Linked DNA regions of Saccharomyces cerevisiae S288C. The gene in region 3 interacts genetically with the main gene of each other region. Each region holds a gene or a part of one and is shown on either strand. Other genes may lie near its edges.

What was found.
Region 1: mutations in PMT7 (region 3) and IRC22 together harm fitness less than expected from each alone (positive genetic interaction), as found in Saccharomyces cerevisiae (one large-scale study listed by BioGRID).
Region 2: mutations in PMT7 (region 3) and PSP1 together harm fitness more than expected from each alone (negative genetic interaction), as found in Saccharomyces cerevisiae (one large-scale study listed by BioGRID).

Annotation. Positions count from the first base shown.
Region 1 is NC_001137.3:149,801-153,970, forward strand, and holds IRC22 (Irc22p), read right to left. Parts: upstream 1,179-4,170; coding exon 501-1,178; downstream 1-500. Other genes in the region: WBP1 (dolichyl-diphosphooligosaccharide-protein glycotransferase), read right to left, coding at 1-214; alpha-1,3-mannosyltransferase MNN1, read left to right, coding at 3,720-4,170. UniProt on the Saccharomyces cerevisiae protein: Is probably involved in a pathway contributing to genomic integrity.
Region 2 is NC_001136.10:1,456,023-1,462,358, reverse strand, and holds PSP1 (Psp1p), read left to right. Parts: upstream 1-3,138; coding exon 3,139-5,664; downstream 5,665-6,336. Other genes in the region: protein kinase GIN4, read left to right, coding at 1-1; GMC1 (putative oxidoreductase), read left to right, coding at 805-2,631; SPG3 (Spg3p), read left to right, coding at 5,665-6,048. UniProt on the Saccharomyces cerevisiae protein: DNA polymerase alpha mutation suppressor.
Region 3 is NC_001136.10:1,073,117-1,079,029, forward strand, and holds PMT7 (putative dolichyl-phosphate-mannose--protein mannosyltransferase), read left to right. Parts: upstream 1-2,748; coding exon 2,749-4,737; downstream 4,738-5,913. Other genes in the region: HNT2 (bis(5'-adenosyl)-triphosphatase), read right to left, coding at 1-196, 286-372; PFU1 (Pfu1p), read right to left, coding at 619-2,055; SRB7 (Srb7p), read right to left, coding at 4,911-5,333. UniProt on the Saccharomyces cerevisiae protein: Probable protein O-mannosyltransferase involved in O-glycosylation which is essential for cell wall rigidity. Transfers mannose from Dol-P-mannose to Ser or Thr residues on proteins.

The DNA.
Region 1 (4,170 bases), on a different chromosome or scaffold from region 3:
CTTTGTCATACAAATCCACAGTAGTGGAAGTACTGTTAATATCTAAATATTCAAGTTTGTAATTCCTTTGTTCTAGATCTTTTAAATAGACTGAGTACTCCTCTAAAGGTTCCGTAGATTGGTCGTAAAGAACAAGCGTTCTTGAAGTTTGTGTGCCCACAACGAAAATGGCCTGCAGAAGGATACAAAAGAAAAAATTCCAATCGGTCCGCATCCTAAATAATCAAAAAAGGATAATTCAAAATTTGCACCGTCAATTGTGTTAAAGTATTCAACTTTATAACCAATTCAGTTGACTATACACCTCTTTAAAGGTTTCTCTTTTCAAGAAGCGTGTTTGATATTTTTCAGGCGTAGCTTAGGGTAATGCATTATTCAATAACCCGCCCTGAAAATATCGAAAGTAGATATTGGGATATCTTTAATTGTAGTATACTAATATGTATCTATAAAACAATGAGAGCCCCCTATCATCATCCAGAGATCTTACTCCGCCATTTTTATTTTTTATAGGTTTCTGGCAACCATGATTCATCAACTTTTTTGACAGTGGCACTCTTCTTGGAAGGTCTTTGATTTGTTTTAGACTTCATGTAGTAATAACTTACACCTCCGATGATGGCTAGAAAGATGACCTGAACTGATAAAAATTGTGGGTTGAAAAAGGAAATAGGTGGGCTAACAATTTCGAATAGGGTTGGTGGTGCCGCAATTCTCACGATTTCATCGAACCTAGAAGCTAATAAAAATGGGATTAAAAAGTATTGTCCTTCCGGTAAATTTAACGTAACGTCTTGCCCGAATTTTGAAGTTCCGTTGACCTCCATTTCGTAAGGCCCAATACTCGCACCTGTAATGTCCGCCACAGGATAACCATGTGGATATGTAACAATTGTTCCGTTGACACCAAAAATTGTGATATTAGTATCTTCCCAATTAGTAACATTATAGGCTAAGGTAGCGGTATCCTCCGCGTAAAACTCAAGGAAAGAATCATGATTTTCTGATTCCTTCCCAACGACATCATATTTCACCTCTATATTAATAGAAGGTGGCGCTACCGCCTCCGCAACTTCCTGTTCATGTTCGACATTGTCGCTATTATTAGCTGATATGGCAGCACAGAAGCTGCTCAAGGCAGTTAATAAATTAAACCCGATTAACATAGAAAACCTCATAATTGCCAGCTATAAAGAAGTGACAGTGAACTTTTACTTGTTTCTTTTGTTTAACCACTAGTATGTAATTGTTTTTGCAGAATTTGAAACTTCACCAAAATCTTCTTAACGTTCAATGACAAAATTACTTACCCGAACTACCGAACTACGAAACATGAATAAATAAACTGGAGGCATAAACTCATTTCCAAATTCCCGGAATACATCGTGTAGTCAAGCAGCATACATCACTATCAAAAATCATGCGCTTGTGATTATCGTATAGTGTATTTATATAATATATATAGATAGCGATAAATGGCAAGATCCTCTATGATAAAAGTCATCATAATGAAAACAGATGGCGCTTGTCTACTGTTTGCAAGGCTTGAAATCACAGGTTTTTATTATATCGTGGATTTTTGCCATTGCCTAAATCAAAAATAATGATCGATTTTTTGTGAATTAGGGAACGGAAGGAAAAAATCAGCAAACAGTCAGCCCTAGCACCATAGGCCGACAGCAACAAAAACTGTTTTTTTATTCTCAAATATTCATGATATTGATTACACCGTACTTCTTTTCAATGCGTAAACAACTAGAGTTGACAAATATTATAAACTAAAAACTATCATATTAATAATATACCTCCTAGCACTTCGTAATGTTTCTGTCATTGAATGGCGAGAACATAATTTTAAAGAATCAACACCTTAAATTGTTAACCTTAACAAATGAAGTAAATTCAAATATTTACTCTTGAATTCTTTTTGCTTTAACTAACACATTGAAATATCAAATTAGTCCACTTTTCTTCCTTGTTGAATGGGTTTCTTCATTAACAGGGGAACGCTTGCCTACCATCAAGCCCATTCAATGCAGATGTGATTAATTGGTAAACAAAGGGCCAAGCAAAAATACATCTCTCCTACATGCTACATAAGTCCGAGATATGTTTTATTTAAGAACTATGAATCTGTAAATGACTGATTCAATATTAAACTAAAATTTCTATGAAACATCAAATTAATCACGTGCTTTTTAAAAAATATAAATTTAATTTCATTTTCTATTTCAATATTTATTAAATAAAAAATTTGAAAAATATATAAAAATTGTAGCAGTATTAGATTTCCGAAAAGAAAAAAAGGTTTCAAGAAAAGGAAAAGAAAAACTAAACGTAGTATAAAGTCTTGTTTAGTGCAAGCCACTGTTGGCGTTTCAACTAAACTATTCCTTAAAAATAAAGTACAATGTTACTGCTAAACAATGTTGAAGGTGAGCTTAAGACAGTAAATCAAGGAAATGCGGTATAATTCCTGCTGACAAAGCCGCACATAAATAGCAGTTGTTAGCTATAAGGAGATTTTTAGCTACGAACATGGTTGTAATTCTCTTTATCCTGATTACCTTCAAGATTAAGAAAAAAACAACCATGGTAACTACTTTGGCTCAAAGTCAAACAAAACTTTTACCATTTCACGGTACACGTTTCCGATAAAATATCACTAGCTATTCAATGTCTGTATTCATCGATAAGCCAGAGTACGACGTACAAAAAATAACGTAAATGCATATCCTGCATCAAGAAAGAACCCTTATGGACGAACAACGAAAGAGATCTAAATTTAGAAGACAGCAAGACTAACCATTTGATAGCGTAGTAAGGCTTATCTAGAAATGTTGGACAGATAGGAAGAGAAAGTATAATAATGGTGTATGGTAGATGACTCTATAATCGTGGTCGGAACGTGCAATATATGAGAACGATGAATGCATATACATATGTCGCGACTCCTTTTTTTCCATTATAGCGGCATCGCTTTATTTCGCGTTTTAATTCATTTTCTTTTTTCTTCATTTCTTTCTGCATATGCAAACGCGGCAAGAAGTGCCCACGGATCCGAAGAAAACCTAATACATTGAAGTTTCTCTCCCTGAGATAGGAACTCTCTCTTCTGCGTCAGAAAAAAAAAAAAGTACTCTTTCTGCATATATTGCTCACTACTGACTCACTGATCCTTTTACGAATAGTTGGGCAACACCTATTAAGTTGTAAAACAATCGCGAAAAAAAAAAGAAAACAACCAAGGCATCCCACTTTTCGAACCCTGGCGCTCGGAAGACTTAATCATTGCGAGGTCTCAATTGGCCGGACCGCCACCATGCAGAAAAATGGTGGAAAGTGCGTGCGCGTTTCTCGTGCCACGTGCTTTTAACCTAAATAGGATACAAACTATCGGCTTATCTTTAGACACGCTCTCGCAGAACGATGAGCTACTGACATTTTGAGTTGATATTCAACCTTTTAAGGTATCTCAGAATGAGGCTCCGGCGCCACCGCAAAGTCTACCTTTTCTTCTTTAAGCCTTGAGTTTCTTCTTTTGCGAAAACGTTGCAATGTATTAGGCAAGATTATATTAAGGAGGTATTATAAAAAGGACTCATAAGTGAAATAAATAATATTCGTAATGCTAAATGTCCTGGTCTTGCTTCGTACTCTCGAAAAACGTAATCTTGCGGTATTTAACGCTAGTTTAAGAAAGTGTTACTGTGTATTAAATGTTGGCACTCCGGAGATTTATATTAAACCAAAGGTCTTTGAGATCGTGTACCATACCGATTCTAGTCGGAGCCTTGATCATTATTCTCGTGCTATTCCAACTAGTTACCCACCGAAATGATGCGCTTATACGATCAAGCAATGTAAACAGTACAAACAAGAAAACATTGAAAGATGCAGATCCTAAGGTTCTTATTGAAGCCTTCGGCTCTCCTGAGGTCGACCCAGTGGATACAATTCCAGTATCGCCACTAGAATTAGTTCCATTTTATGACCAGTCTATAGATACTAAAAGGAGTTCTAGTTGGCTAATCAATAAGAAGGGCTATTATAAGCATTTCAACGAATTAAGCTTAACTGATAGATGTAAATTTTATTTCCGGACACTGTATACGCTAGACGATGAATGGACTAATAGTGTGAAGAAACTGGAGTACAGCATAAATGATA
Region 2 (6,336 bases), 380 kb from region 3:
GTGCTAATGTAATGCAATCATGTTTTGTCTCCTTCGTTTTGTTCTGCCATAATATTTCGCTCATATTATTTTTGCTTATTTTTTCCCCTCCGTATTAATACTTTAAATAACAATCTAATGGAGGTACTGGACTCTATGTACTATTATATTTACCCTTAAAATATCGTGTTGATTACTATTTGTATAACCGTTTGTTTTTCTAACTATATATGAAAGAAAAGTAGTTATAGTTATAGTAGTTGAAGATTTAAAAGCTATTTGCCCTCTTTGGGATTAAAGTAAGAGCTAAACATAAATTATGTAACAGTTTAATTTTCCGAACATTAATTGTTGTTAAAGGCTTTAATATCAAGTATACTGAATATGCTAGAAGTTCCACTCAAGCATATAAGAATATCTGCCTAAATTATTATTTATCACTACAACTTGGCTACAAATTATGAACAATGAGGCCGACAAGAAGTTACTCTCTTAAAAAATGGGATATGATATATACAAACATATGATACAAAAATTTCAACAAATAAGTGGTTGTTTGGCCGAGCGGTCTAAGGCGCCTGATTCAAGAAAAAATCTTGACCGCAGTGAACTGTGGGAATACTCAGGTATCGTAAGATGCAAGAGTTCGAATCTCTTAGCAACCAATATTTTTTAGTTTACATTTTTTTCGGGGATAGTCATAGAGGATCCACCTTCATCTCAGCTGTCCACATTAAGGCCAAAGCTAATAAAGTGGCACATACTGGGCGGTTAAACAAAGTTATTAAGTAATTATTGCAAAACTCCGTGGACAACTTGTTTAGAATGAAGGTCATTCTCCTTAAGCCGGTTCAGTTGCCAATGCTACTCTTAATACTATTAAAATTTATTATGGCCGCTAAGGAAGGCAAAATACATGTCTTAGAATTCAATGCGAGCAGTGAATACACGCTTGATAAGAGAAGAGTTATCTCCATAAATGGCTACAGCGCTACATTTGGCCCAGAAATTCGAGTTAAATCCGGTGACACTCTTAACTTGAAATTGACTAACTGGATATGTTCAGAAGAAGAAGCTAGTAAAGACAGTGATGTTTGGAAGGATTACTGTTCAACAGCTTTACATTTTCATGGGGTGGTACCTTTAGCAAATGAATTTGATGGAATTCCAGGTTTAACACAGCCCACTATTGGATATGGAGAAAGTTATTGGTATAATTTTACCATTGATCAATCAACCTGTGGTACTTTTTGGTACCATTCGCATTCATCAGTACAATACGGTGACGGTATGAGAGGTGTTCTGATAGTTGAATGCGATGATTATGATAATCATGTGGCAAATACTATTAATTCTGTGAGAGACATAGAGACACTAGATGACGGTGTTGTTACAATGAAAAAAGATAAACACACGAAGGAATTGACGGATTATGAAGTTCAAGAAAGGATTATCACTTTGAGTGATTGGTATACCAATTGGAATTTGGACATTTTAAACGACAAGGTTTTGTCATCTACCGGGGGTACAGATCCCAAATTTGATGGATCATTAATAAATGGAAAATCATCTGACGGTGAAACTATCAAAATAGGATTTAACACCGAGTATCTTCTTTTGAGAATCGTAAACTCAGGAATGTCTGGTACTCAAGTCTTTCACCTTGATGGATTCCAATTAATTGTTCTAGAAGCCGACGGGATTATGATTAAACCGTTCATTGTACAAACGATAAATTTAGCGGTCGGACAAAGATATACAATTTTGGTCAAACTAAAGTCTGACACTAGTTTTATTCGTATGATTAATGGCTGTAACAAAATGATGGGTTATATAACAAAACAGTGGTGGTTTTACAAAGAAGGCGCTCATTTGGACCTACCAAAGAACCCCAATGACGTTTCCATCGAACACTTGCCTGGTTTCACTAAGGCCGAGCTTTATCGCGACATAGAACCAACGCAAGAAGAGAATAAAAAGTTACGCACAAAGGCTGATCCTGTTGCAGTTTTCGAATTCGATTATGCTTATTACAAAGATGAAAGCACGAAACAAAAGTATGGGACTGGGATGTATAAGGTGAACGAACGGACATTCAGCGAGTACGTAAAAGACCCGGTAAGGTTCGGATTCAACGAAACATATGATATTGTAATCAACTCACTGGACCACATGAGACACCCATGGCATATGCATGGCCATCACTTCCAGATAATATCTCTTGGCAATAAAGGTGATGGCCCATTTCACAAAGACGTACAAGAGGGCAAGGCATGGAGCCGCTATCAGAACGATTTACGTCACCTGGCCCGAACCGGAAAGGCACCGATGGTAAGGGATAGCATTAACATTGCAGGAAATTCTTACGCGGTTTTGAGAATTAACACCGAGATGCCCGGAAAATGGCTTTTACATTGTCATGTGGAGTGGCACATGATGAAGGGGCTTGGCATTGTCTTTGAGGTTCCGACAACAACCGAGGACAGTACCAAACAAGCAACTACAGCTGTATTATCGTACCCTACCAAGGAACCTGACCCTAACACTGTTGTCCATACAGCCGCACTTGAACAAAATAAGTCCAAGGTAATAGCCGTCTACATCCTAATCATGTGTGCGGTTGATGCTATCTTCTACTGGTTGCTCATGTAATCACATCCATTTCTCCCAACTCATTGCTTTTTTTCGCTTTTCCCACAGCCGTTTACAAGGCCGCAAAAAAGAAAACCCGCAAAGCTGACGGAAAAAGTATCGGCTAGCTTTCCATTGGCGACAATCGCCTCCGAGTGCGAAAACCTGTATTTCTCTGACTGCCGTAGGTCATATAGGATTGGGTCATAACGGTTTTTTGGAGACGAATCCTTCCCCTAATCGTGTTGGATAACATTACGGATCCGTGTTTTAGCTAAAGGAACAAAACAAAAATAAATAAAGGATAAGAAGAAGGATTCACTGATAATTAAGAGCTGTATTTTTCATTGGTTCGGCAGTTAGAAACAGAGATAGCATCAGTTCGAGTGTTCTTTGATATAGTAAACAGCGTATATAGAAAAGAATAAAGTGTATTGAAAGGCTCAAGAGAATTATAGAGAAAAAAACGAAGGATAAATCAAAAAAAGCGGTGTCTGATACAGTGCTCAATAGAAATACAGTTGCAAAATGGACCTCCCAACTGTTAATAGCACAACAAGCATTTCCGACAATGTGGATTTAAAGAACTACTATGAGGACTTGCTTTTCAAGAATAACAGCGGAAAATCGCTATCCGATTTACCCCGTAAACTGAATGATAACTCCAATAATTCAGGAAGTGATACGGTTGATCCGCTTGCTGGCCTGAATAATTTGAGAAACTCAATAAAAAGTGCGGGAAATGGTATGGAAAACAGGAGGACTTTTGACGATATTGATTTTATGGGTAGGTTTCCGTATTTGCCACCAGTGCCAAATCAACAACAGCAACCGTTTTCTCACCAGAACGGGTTCATTCAAGAACACCCTTCCAGTAATTTGACCTCTTTTCAAATGTCTTCGTCTAATTCAGAGCCGATGTCCGCACCGCCCATTTCATCCAATAACAATAATTTAAACTCTACTCAAATGGGTAATTATCAAGCTCAACAACGGTCGTTCCCGCAATTTAATGGAAATTCATTTCATTCAAATGGAAACGACCTAATGGGGAATCGGATGGATTCAGACTACATGCGTTTAATGAATAAAACAAACATAGGTTTTACTTCCAATAGCGGCAGCAATTTTGCTGCCCCATCACACAGTGCTGGCAACCCATCTAGTATGAACAACCAACAAGTACCATCATTTAATTGGCAACAGCCATCTCATCCAGAGTCTACCATTAGGAGATCCTCCTACATATCAGATACTCTAATCAACCATCAAATGCCTGACGCTCGGCAAAAGCAAACATCCCAAGTGCAGCAGCAACACGCTCAAGGTTTCAATCTTTTCAATAGCAGATTCAACTATGACAACTTGAACTCAACCCATTTGACCGCCAAAGGTGTGCCCGAGTTTGGAAATGGTGTACAACCTCCGTATCCTTATGATAACGAGCCTAATAATGCCAGTATCAGCAATAGTAATAACAACAACAACAGTCACAATATGGTTCCAATGCAACAGTTTCGCCGGAATACACAACCGGTAGCGAGCTTCAATCCATCCCTTCCTACTTTTCAACAACAACAGCAACAACCACAACAACCACAACAACCAAGAAACGTTAATGTACCTACTTCTTTCAATGGCGAACGTGTTGATGATGTTCAGCTTGTTCAACTTCAAAGAAGCAGTTCTGTCCCTTCTTCTACAAACTCACATAACCTTCAGAACGAGAACAGCAATGAAGGAAATGTATCTTTGGACAATGGTTTAGTTTTAATTCAGGGTAAACACTTGACTTCGTCCAAAACCTTACACGATTTATACAGCGACTGTGGCAGCGGCTATTTTGCTAGCTCTGCAGTTTTTGAATTCACAGATAATATTAAGAAAATGCTGAAGTTGCACGATTCTAATGAAAGTTACGACGCGAAGAACATGGGCTTAATCGATGAAGAAGGTAATACATACCAATCTTTATTAAATTTCTTGGACATTTTAAGAAGTTGCAACATGAATTACGTTAATGATCCAGAGTCGAATAATGGAATTGTTTCCAATAATGGAGGCAATAAAAATAGGAGGAAGGGCTCTTTCACAACAGAACTATCATGCAGGAATGCTAATAACTCCTTTTTACCTTATACACCATTGGTACTGGTTGCTTTGAAAAATGGGAAACTTGAACTACTATCTACTCCACAAGCTACCAATTTGTTGTTAAAGAGAGGTGACTTGGTTATTATTGATGGTGACCGTGGAAGGGATTTAGTATTGGTTGTTGAGCCCTCTGTCGATTTGAATTTAGCATTATTTATAAATTTTCTGAAAAAGAAAATTCACTTTGACTCTTTAATTACAAGTGAGTCACAGCACTATCGCAATGATGAGTTTATTCAAATGTTGATTGACTCAAAAAATGGGCAAAAGAAAAAATTAAATCCCAAATTGTATGATGTTGTTGAATTAACTGAGTTAATCATACCATCTAAACAAGTCTTACGTTTTGCCACCCCGTGGGAGGTAACAACGAATTTGCACAATAAATTTGAAGATGAATTAAAAGCCTTGCATATTGCTCAGAGTAAATTACAAGCGTTAAATGATAATTCAAAATCTCAAAATACAAATGACAGTTCTTCCAATAATTTTACGAATGCTGCAACTTATTCAAAGCCTAAATTGAATATCAAGATTTTAAACGCAGAATTCCAATTTGATAGAAAGAAATTAACGTTTTACTACGTTTGTGAGGAGAGAAATGATTTTAGAGACTTGATAAAAGAGCTGTTCAAATATTACAAGACAAGAATTTGGTTGTGTGCCATCCCGAATAATCTGTCTATTGATTCTAAGTATTATGATAAACAACAAAAAGAGCTGAAATTATATCAAAACATAGTAAAAAATTACAATGCTGAAGATTTAATGAATGTCAATGAGTTTTCGCAGAACAGGGGGAATAACAGAGTTAATTTTGCACCTCCGTTGAACGAAATTGAACTCGACAACTTTCAGATTGCTGTGTATGAAGAATTAGTTCACGAATTATTTCATTAAATGATCTGTTATTTCCTTGTTGTAACTATAAATTTTCTAAAAGAAAAGACAACCATTTGCCATTATTTTGTTAACATTTTTTCATTGTTTTTGTTTTTGTTTGTTTTTGTTTTTGTTTTTATTTTTGTCTACTTTTTTTATGTTATTTTGTTTTATCGTTTCTGTTCGTTGTTTACCTATTTTCCTGCCAATTCAATTTGGTACTATCTTTCTATTATCAATATTTTCTTTCCCTTATGTTTTTTTCTATATGAAAACTTCACAGGGAGAAATAGAAGAAAATGTTCATTATTCTGTTTAACTTTGATAAAAATTACTTATACGTCTCCCAATCATGGTTTCATGGTCACTGGTAAGGAAAAATTCGAAAAACTACGGGACTAAAAATTTTTTAAAGATTGTCCATATTCCTCGATCCACACTTTCAAGTTTGAGATTTATTGTTGGCAACTTTCTTACATTTTTGTTGTTTCAACTTCTATTTTATATTCTAACAGCCGCTTCCATTTATTTTTCATAGGCTTTATATAAAAAACAAAAAATAATGGAATCAACCAACCCTTATAAACTTATATGTAGTTTACATTTAATCAAGGTCTGTTATCGTGGCTATTGCTCTAATTCATTATTTGTCGACATGTATTGGTTGATAATTTTTGTTTTGGTTCACGC
Region 3 (5,913 bases):
TGGCAACGTTGATAGAGTCAGCCTTATATTGCCACTTAATAAATCTATGTATTAACTGTAAAGTCTTGAAATAATCTTGAGATTCAGGCATGGTCAGATCTGATAAGTTTAAAACCGTAGTTCTCAGTGGAACGATCAGTACATGTCCGGGTACAATTGGTTTCAAGTTTACCAATGCATACGTATATTTTGACTTCTGTAAAGAAGCAGAGATTATAAGGTCTCCATATAGTTAGTAACGCAATGGTGCGAATGGGGTACAAAAAAACATATGAGAGTGCATACATAGAAAACTTGTTCAGTTACAAGAAACTTGCTGAAATATATTGGCTTATTCATGCTTTTAGGTTTCTTTGTTTTGCTTAAGATCATTCTGAGCCCAAGATAGATCAATGGAGCTTCCTTTTTTTCTTCGCTTCTTACAATTGAGCAGAAAAGAAGATTCGACCATATCTTGAGAAACGTATAAACCAGGAAAATTACACATTCTAATTGGTGTCAATGGCAAAATATATGCAAGTTTGCATGTAAAATATTTTTTTTAGGCCGGATAAAATAATTCTTCCTAATAGTGTCTAAAAGAAAACACTGACTCTTATAAAACAAACAATGAACATTTTAATAATTAAGATATAAACTGCCATCTTGATCTTCCAAAGAGACTACCAAATCAGCGACTTCATCGCTTTTCATGTTCCACCCCAGCTTGGGAGAAACACAAATATTCTTTAGGCAGGGCAGCCTGGATTCCAGTATGGCTATAGTCAAGTCATCGGGATGAATCTTAGAAGCTAATCCCAAGGATCCGCTGCATTCTAAGTACAATGTTTTAAGAGGCCTATCATATTCCACCAATTTACTTAGCATGAATTCAGAAAAGCACCACTTAGAACAGTAATCAACCATGAGCTGCAAAGAAATTAAATTAGCACAGTACGTGAAGACATGGTCTAGGGAATTTTCTGCCAGAGATGGCATCGGATAATGAAAAAATAAATGCTTTAAATTATCACCGATCTGTGATAACAACGAATAAATAGACAATTCCGTTATTTGAGGACAATAAGAGAATTCTAAAGTTGTAATAGTTGTTGGCCATTTCGTATCAATCACAAATTCATTTGTTATACCTCCACTCAATTTCAAGTACCTGAGATTCTGTGGCCATTGAATATCTTGGAACCCTTGGCAGTCAATCGACGATCTGGGAAAAGATAAATGCGTTAATTTAGTGAAATTTTTAATGGCAGAAAATAACTCCTTCAGCTTAACTGTTTCCGATACTAAACCCAAGTCTAAAAATTTCAAATCATGACACGATTTCAATGAAATCAAAGGCGCGTAACCAAAGCTTGTCTGTGGTGCGATGAATTTAGTTAGGTTAGAACAGCATCGTCGTAAAAGCTTGGAGACAAATGAATTTCTACCACTTTGTAAAATTGTAGACAAGTTCAACTCAAAAACATAGTGTCCTAAATTCTTCTTTTTATTTATGATTATTGTATCAACAAACCCGTTGAAATTCTTACTTGTTAACGCTGGTGCATAATAAAGCTTTGGTAGACACATGGCGTACCAGTTTCTGCAAACTAGTAAGTAGTTCATATTTATACCAGTCGTAGTTTTTTTTCCATTAGCAGTTTTATTTAATTTTTCTTCTTTCTCTGGTATATCAAGATAATGAATTATTCTATGCTGTATCTCCCATGGCAAAACCATCTTTACTGATACTGAATGCATCCTCGCTTCCTCACTCTCTATGACTTTGCCATTTTTTTCTCCTTTGGAGGACGATGTCGATGATGACGATGGCGACTGCTTACGTCCTTTTTTATCCTTTTTTTCATTACTCAGTCGTGTCAATTTCACTATAGTATCATTGGTTTCATCATAGTAATAAGACCCCTGTGGAGTCTCAATGAGTTCTGCATCCTCCGGTATAGTGATAGTGAATTCTTTAGCCTTATTATCATTTCTTGTAGAGGAGAAACCCTCTCCCGCCACGTACTTCCTGTAAGGAGCCTTGATTTTCTTGGGTCGTGATTTGTTTGCCATTACTGAGTACTGTGGTTGATATGATTATGTGTTAGAGCTGTTGCACATGTTTGTCGATGTACAAATCTTGACGATGCCGTCATATTACTCTCAATACTAGACACATCTTGTATTGACAACCCTTACCCCTCATGAAGAGGTAACCCGGCCGCAGGGCTTTAACAATAAAATAGAGACTATCATTCAACAATTACACAGTAGAAAAAAGTCAGAAGATTACTAATCTCGATCTTAAGTCTATTAGTCAATTAAATGTGGCCTAGGATTCAACTAAAAATATAGTAGTAGTGAAAAAACAAATGTTCCAACCGAGGATCGAACTCGGGACCTTTGCCGTGTGAAGGCAACGTGATAGCCGCTACACTATTGGAACAATATTACGGATGACAGCTTAGGATTCATAAAGAACTAATAAAGGTGTGGCAATAAAAATGGTGCAGCAAGTCTCAACTTTACTGCTTCTTATAGTTACTTCCTGTCGTTTTCATCACACTAACCCTTTGTTTCATTGTGCTCCCCTTCCCTTCCTTTCAATATTGCTTCCTACATCGGTCACTCTTACTTTGGTAATGAAGTAATGAAGAAAGGAAAAATAGAAAATCGAATACTAAAAATGTTATTATTTAAGGAGAATAAGAACGTAGACACTTAAGGGCGATAGTGTTTGAACAGAAAAAAATTAACTTACAAAACATGAAGGACTTGAGATTACAGGGGCCCTACAGAAAGTACATTCCCTATAATATTTTCCAACAATGTGGAATTGGTCACTTAAAGACGCTTGATTATATTTTCGCGTTTTTGATTGTTATTACCAATTTCACATTAATATGGAAATCGCACTCTTCTTCATTCTGGAACCGACCATGGGACAATAATAGTGAACAAGAACTTTCCCAATTAATTCAGTTTTACCTAGACAAGGCTTTTTACATCCATGAATTGCCACCATTTACAATACAGTTCTACTCCATTATTCGAAGATTAAAGATCGCAGAAAATTTAAGATACGTTTCTTTGTTTTTGAATTCATCGACTTTAGGTTTTCTTTTCCTGATAACAAGGAGAATCAATTGCTCTCGTTTAATTTCAGCAACAGGTTTGCTGATATTATCCAACTGGGAAACTTTCAGAAATGAGGGCACTATTATATCATTTGACAGTTTAGAATGGTGTCTGTTCTCAGTAGTAATTTACAGTTTTATAAGCATTTCAATTGCAAAACTGGGAACTACGAATTGGTTTGCTAATGTGATTACATTATCTATTTCTTTAGGGCTGGCAATCTCTTCTAAATTTATTGGAATTGTCACTTGGGCCTTCGTAATTCTTTCTTTTGTACGTCAATTTGATAGACTGATAAGCGACGTTAAAGTTACGACCATCCAAATAATAAAATTTGTCATTCTCTGTCTATTATTCGTTTTGATTATCCCTGGTTCCATCTTCATAATAAGTTATTCGAACTTACTTTCGAATTTTAAGACAGACACGCCACAATTTTCAAAATATATGAGCACATATTTCAAGTCCTATTTAAGAGGCCCTCAAGTACAACCGAGTCGATTGTACTATGGATCAACGATCACATTACGTCATTTAGATTCTATGGTCGGATATCTTGCTTCTCACGATATTTCGTATCCATCAGATGTTGACGAACAGTTAGTAGCGTTATCATTTGAAGAATTCGCGGCAGACAATGAATGGTTAATAGAACATCCTACATTAAATTTGAGTTTTTCTGAGGTATACCATGCTGATCAATTGATACCTGTAGAATTTGGTCAAAGTATAAAACTAAGACACAAATCTACTGGAAAATTATTGAGAGCCAGCACTGCTAAACCTCCCATCAGCGAGCAGGACTATGACTTTCAAATTTCATGCACGAAAGATTCAAACTACGAAGGAGGAATGGATGAGAGATGGGATGTTCTCCTGATTAAAGATGAAATCAACAATGATAAAAAGGATAACGCAGATGATAAATACATTAAACCGCTTCAATCAGAGATACGCTTTTACAATAACGGCCAGAGATGTGGGCTATTGGGCCATGATCTTCGGTTACCTGAATGGGGCCGCTTTGAGCAAGAAGTCCTATGTATGGAGTACCCAGTAATACCAAGAACCACTTTTCTAATAGACTCAGTACAACTACCAGTCGATTTCCAAGTCCCAATGATAGAATATTATATCGGCAAAATAAGTTCTTCAGCAGAATTCAATCATACCTTATCTTGGTCACAATTTCTTTATCTTTTCAAAGAATATATTTTCAAACAATACAAGTACAATTACTATATTAAATACGGTAAAAATAAGGTCACTTTTGAAGATGCGTTCGCCGTGGAAAAATGGCCAATTACGTTAGACACAGACTCTCCAGTTTGGTTTAATTTTGCATGGTATGGATCCTTACTCTCGATGATCATTTTCATGTGCGTGCAATGTAAGAGAATGATATCTTGGAATCCGTGGACAACTGCTGAACCTTCCTTTTCTATCAAATGGGAGGTCTACAATGAATTTGGCTGGGAGTGCATTGTCGGTTGGTTTTTACATTTTTACATCTTCACAATGAGTCCACACTTCAACTTGGGGAAAAAACTGTACTTCCAAAGTTTTTTCTTTAGTGTATTGTGTCTTTTAGAATCGTTAGATTGCCTTGCAAAGTAACTCGTAGAAAGATTTTCTCCATTATGATTTTTCTCCCATTGCTTCAATAATTCTCCGGTACAAATAGAGTAGCACAATTATTTATAAGAATAACATACATACGCTTAACTCTGCCATATAACTATAGTACATTTTCTGTCCTCTGTTCGCAAATTTCTTTGTAAAACTTAAGTTTATGTGCTCTTTTTTGAGTTTGCAATGCCATCTACAAAATCTTCAATTAAAGAATCAACGTGCCTTAAAAGTTTCTCCTTCTTTTTGATGGCCTCAATTTTTTCGTCTTCCACTTCAACTAGCTTTTTCTGCAACATATCAATCTTCCTTAATTGCTCTTCAGCTGAAACGTCAACACCAGGTAACGAGTCAATAAGCTTGTTTATCTGTCTTGTTTTAAGTATAATGTCCGTGGATAGCTCATCTATCGTGTTAGAAAATTCCTCAGGAGGTACTACTGTGGCATGCTTATCGGACATCTGAGGTTCATTTACGGTCAATCGTTCAAAACCATGGTTCTTATCTATGTAGTTTAAAGTAGCACAGAATTGCTCCGTCATTTGGTCTAAACATATCTGCAATTGTGTTAATCTATCTGTCATTGTTAAAGAGCATATAATGTATTGAACTAGTGAAATGTTATGTCCCTCTTTTAACCAATGGTTTACCGTTTGAATTATAATTATCTTTCAGAATTGATTTTTTTTCTAACTTTCTTGCAATGCGAACAAAGCTTGTAATTAAGCACGTACGGTTGGCCTTTAAAGGATTACAGAGAAAGACAAGGCTTCTACAGAAACAGCCACATGTTCTACAAAAGCGCACTTCACGCATATAAGCATATAAATGTTAGTTATATGAACAATCTTAAGTAATATATAATAAATCAGAAAAGTTTAACTGTAAAAGAAATTGTGTTTTAAAAGAAGATATAATAAACGAATGTATGGGATAACGCCAAGTTAAATGAATGTCCTTGTTTTGTAACTAAAGCAGAAGAAATAATATTGTTAGCTCTAGTTATTTTAATAGTGAAAAAATAGCCGAAATAAAGAACAAAGAAAAAAGAATGAGGAAACGAATGAATGAGATTAACGAGTAAAAAACGAATGAATGATACTTCAGATGGTCCTTGAATATGTTTTATAAGCTGATTCTTTGAATTTTTTTTTTTTTTTTTTT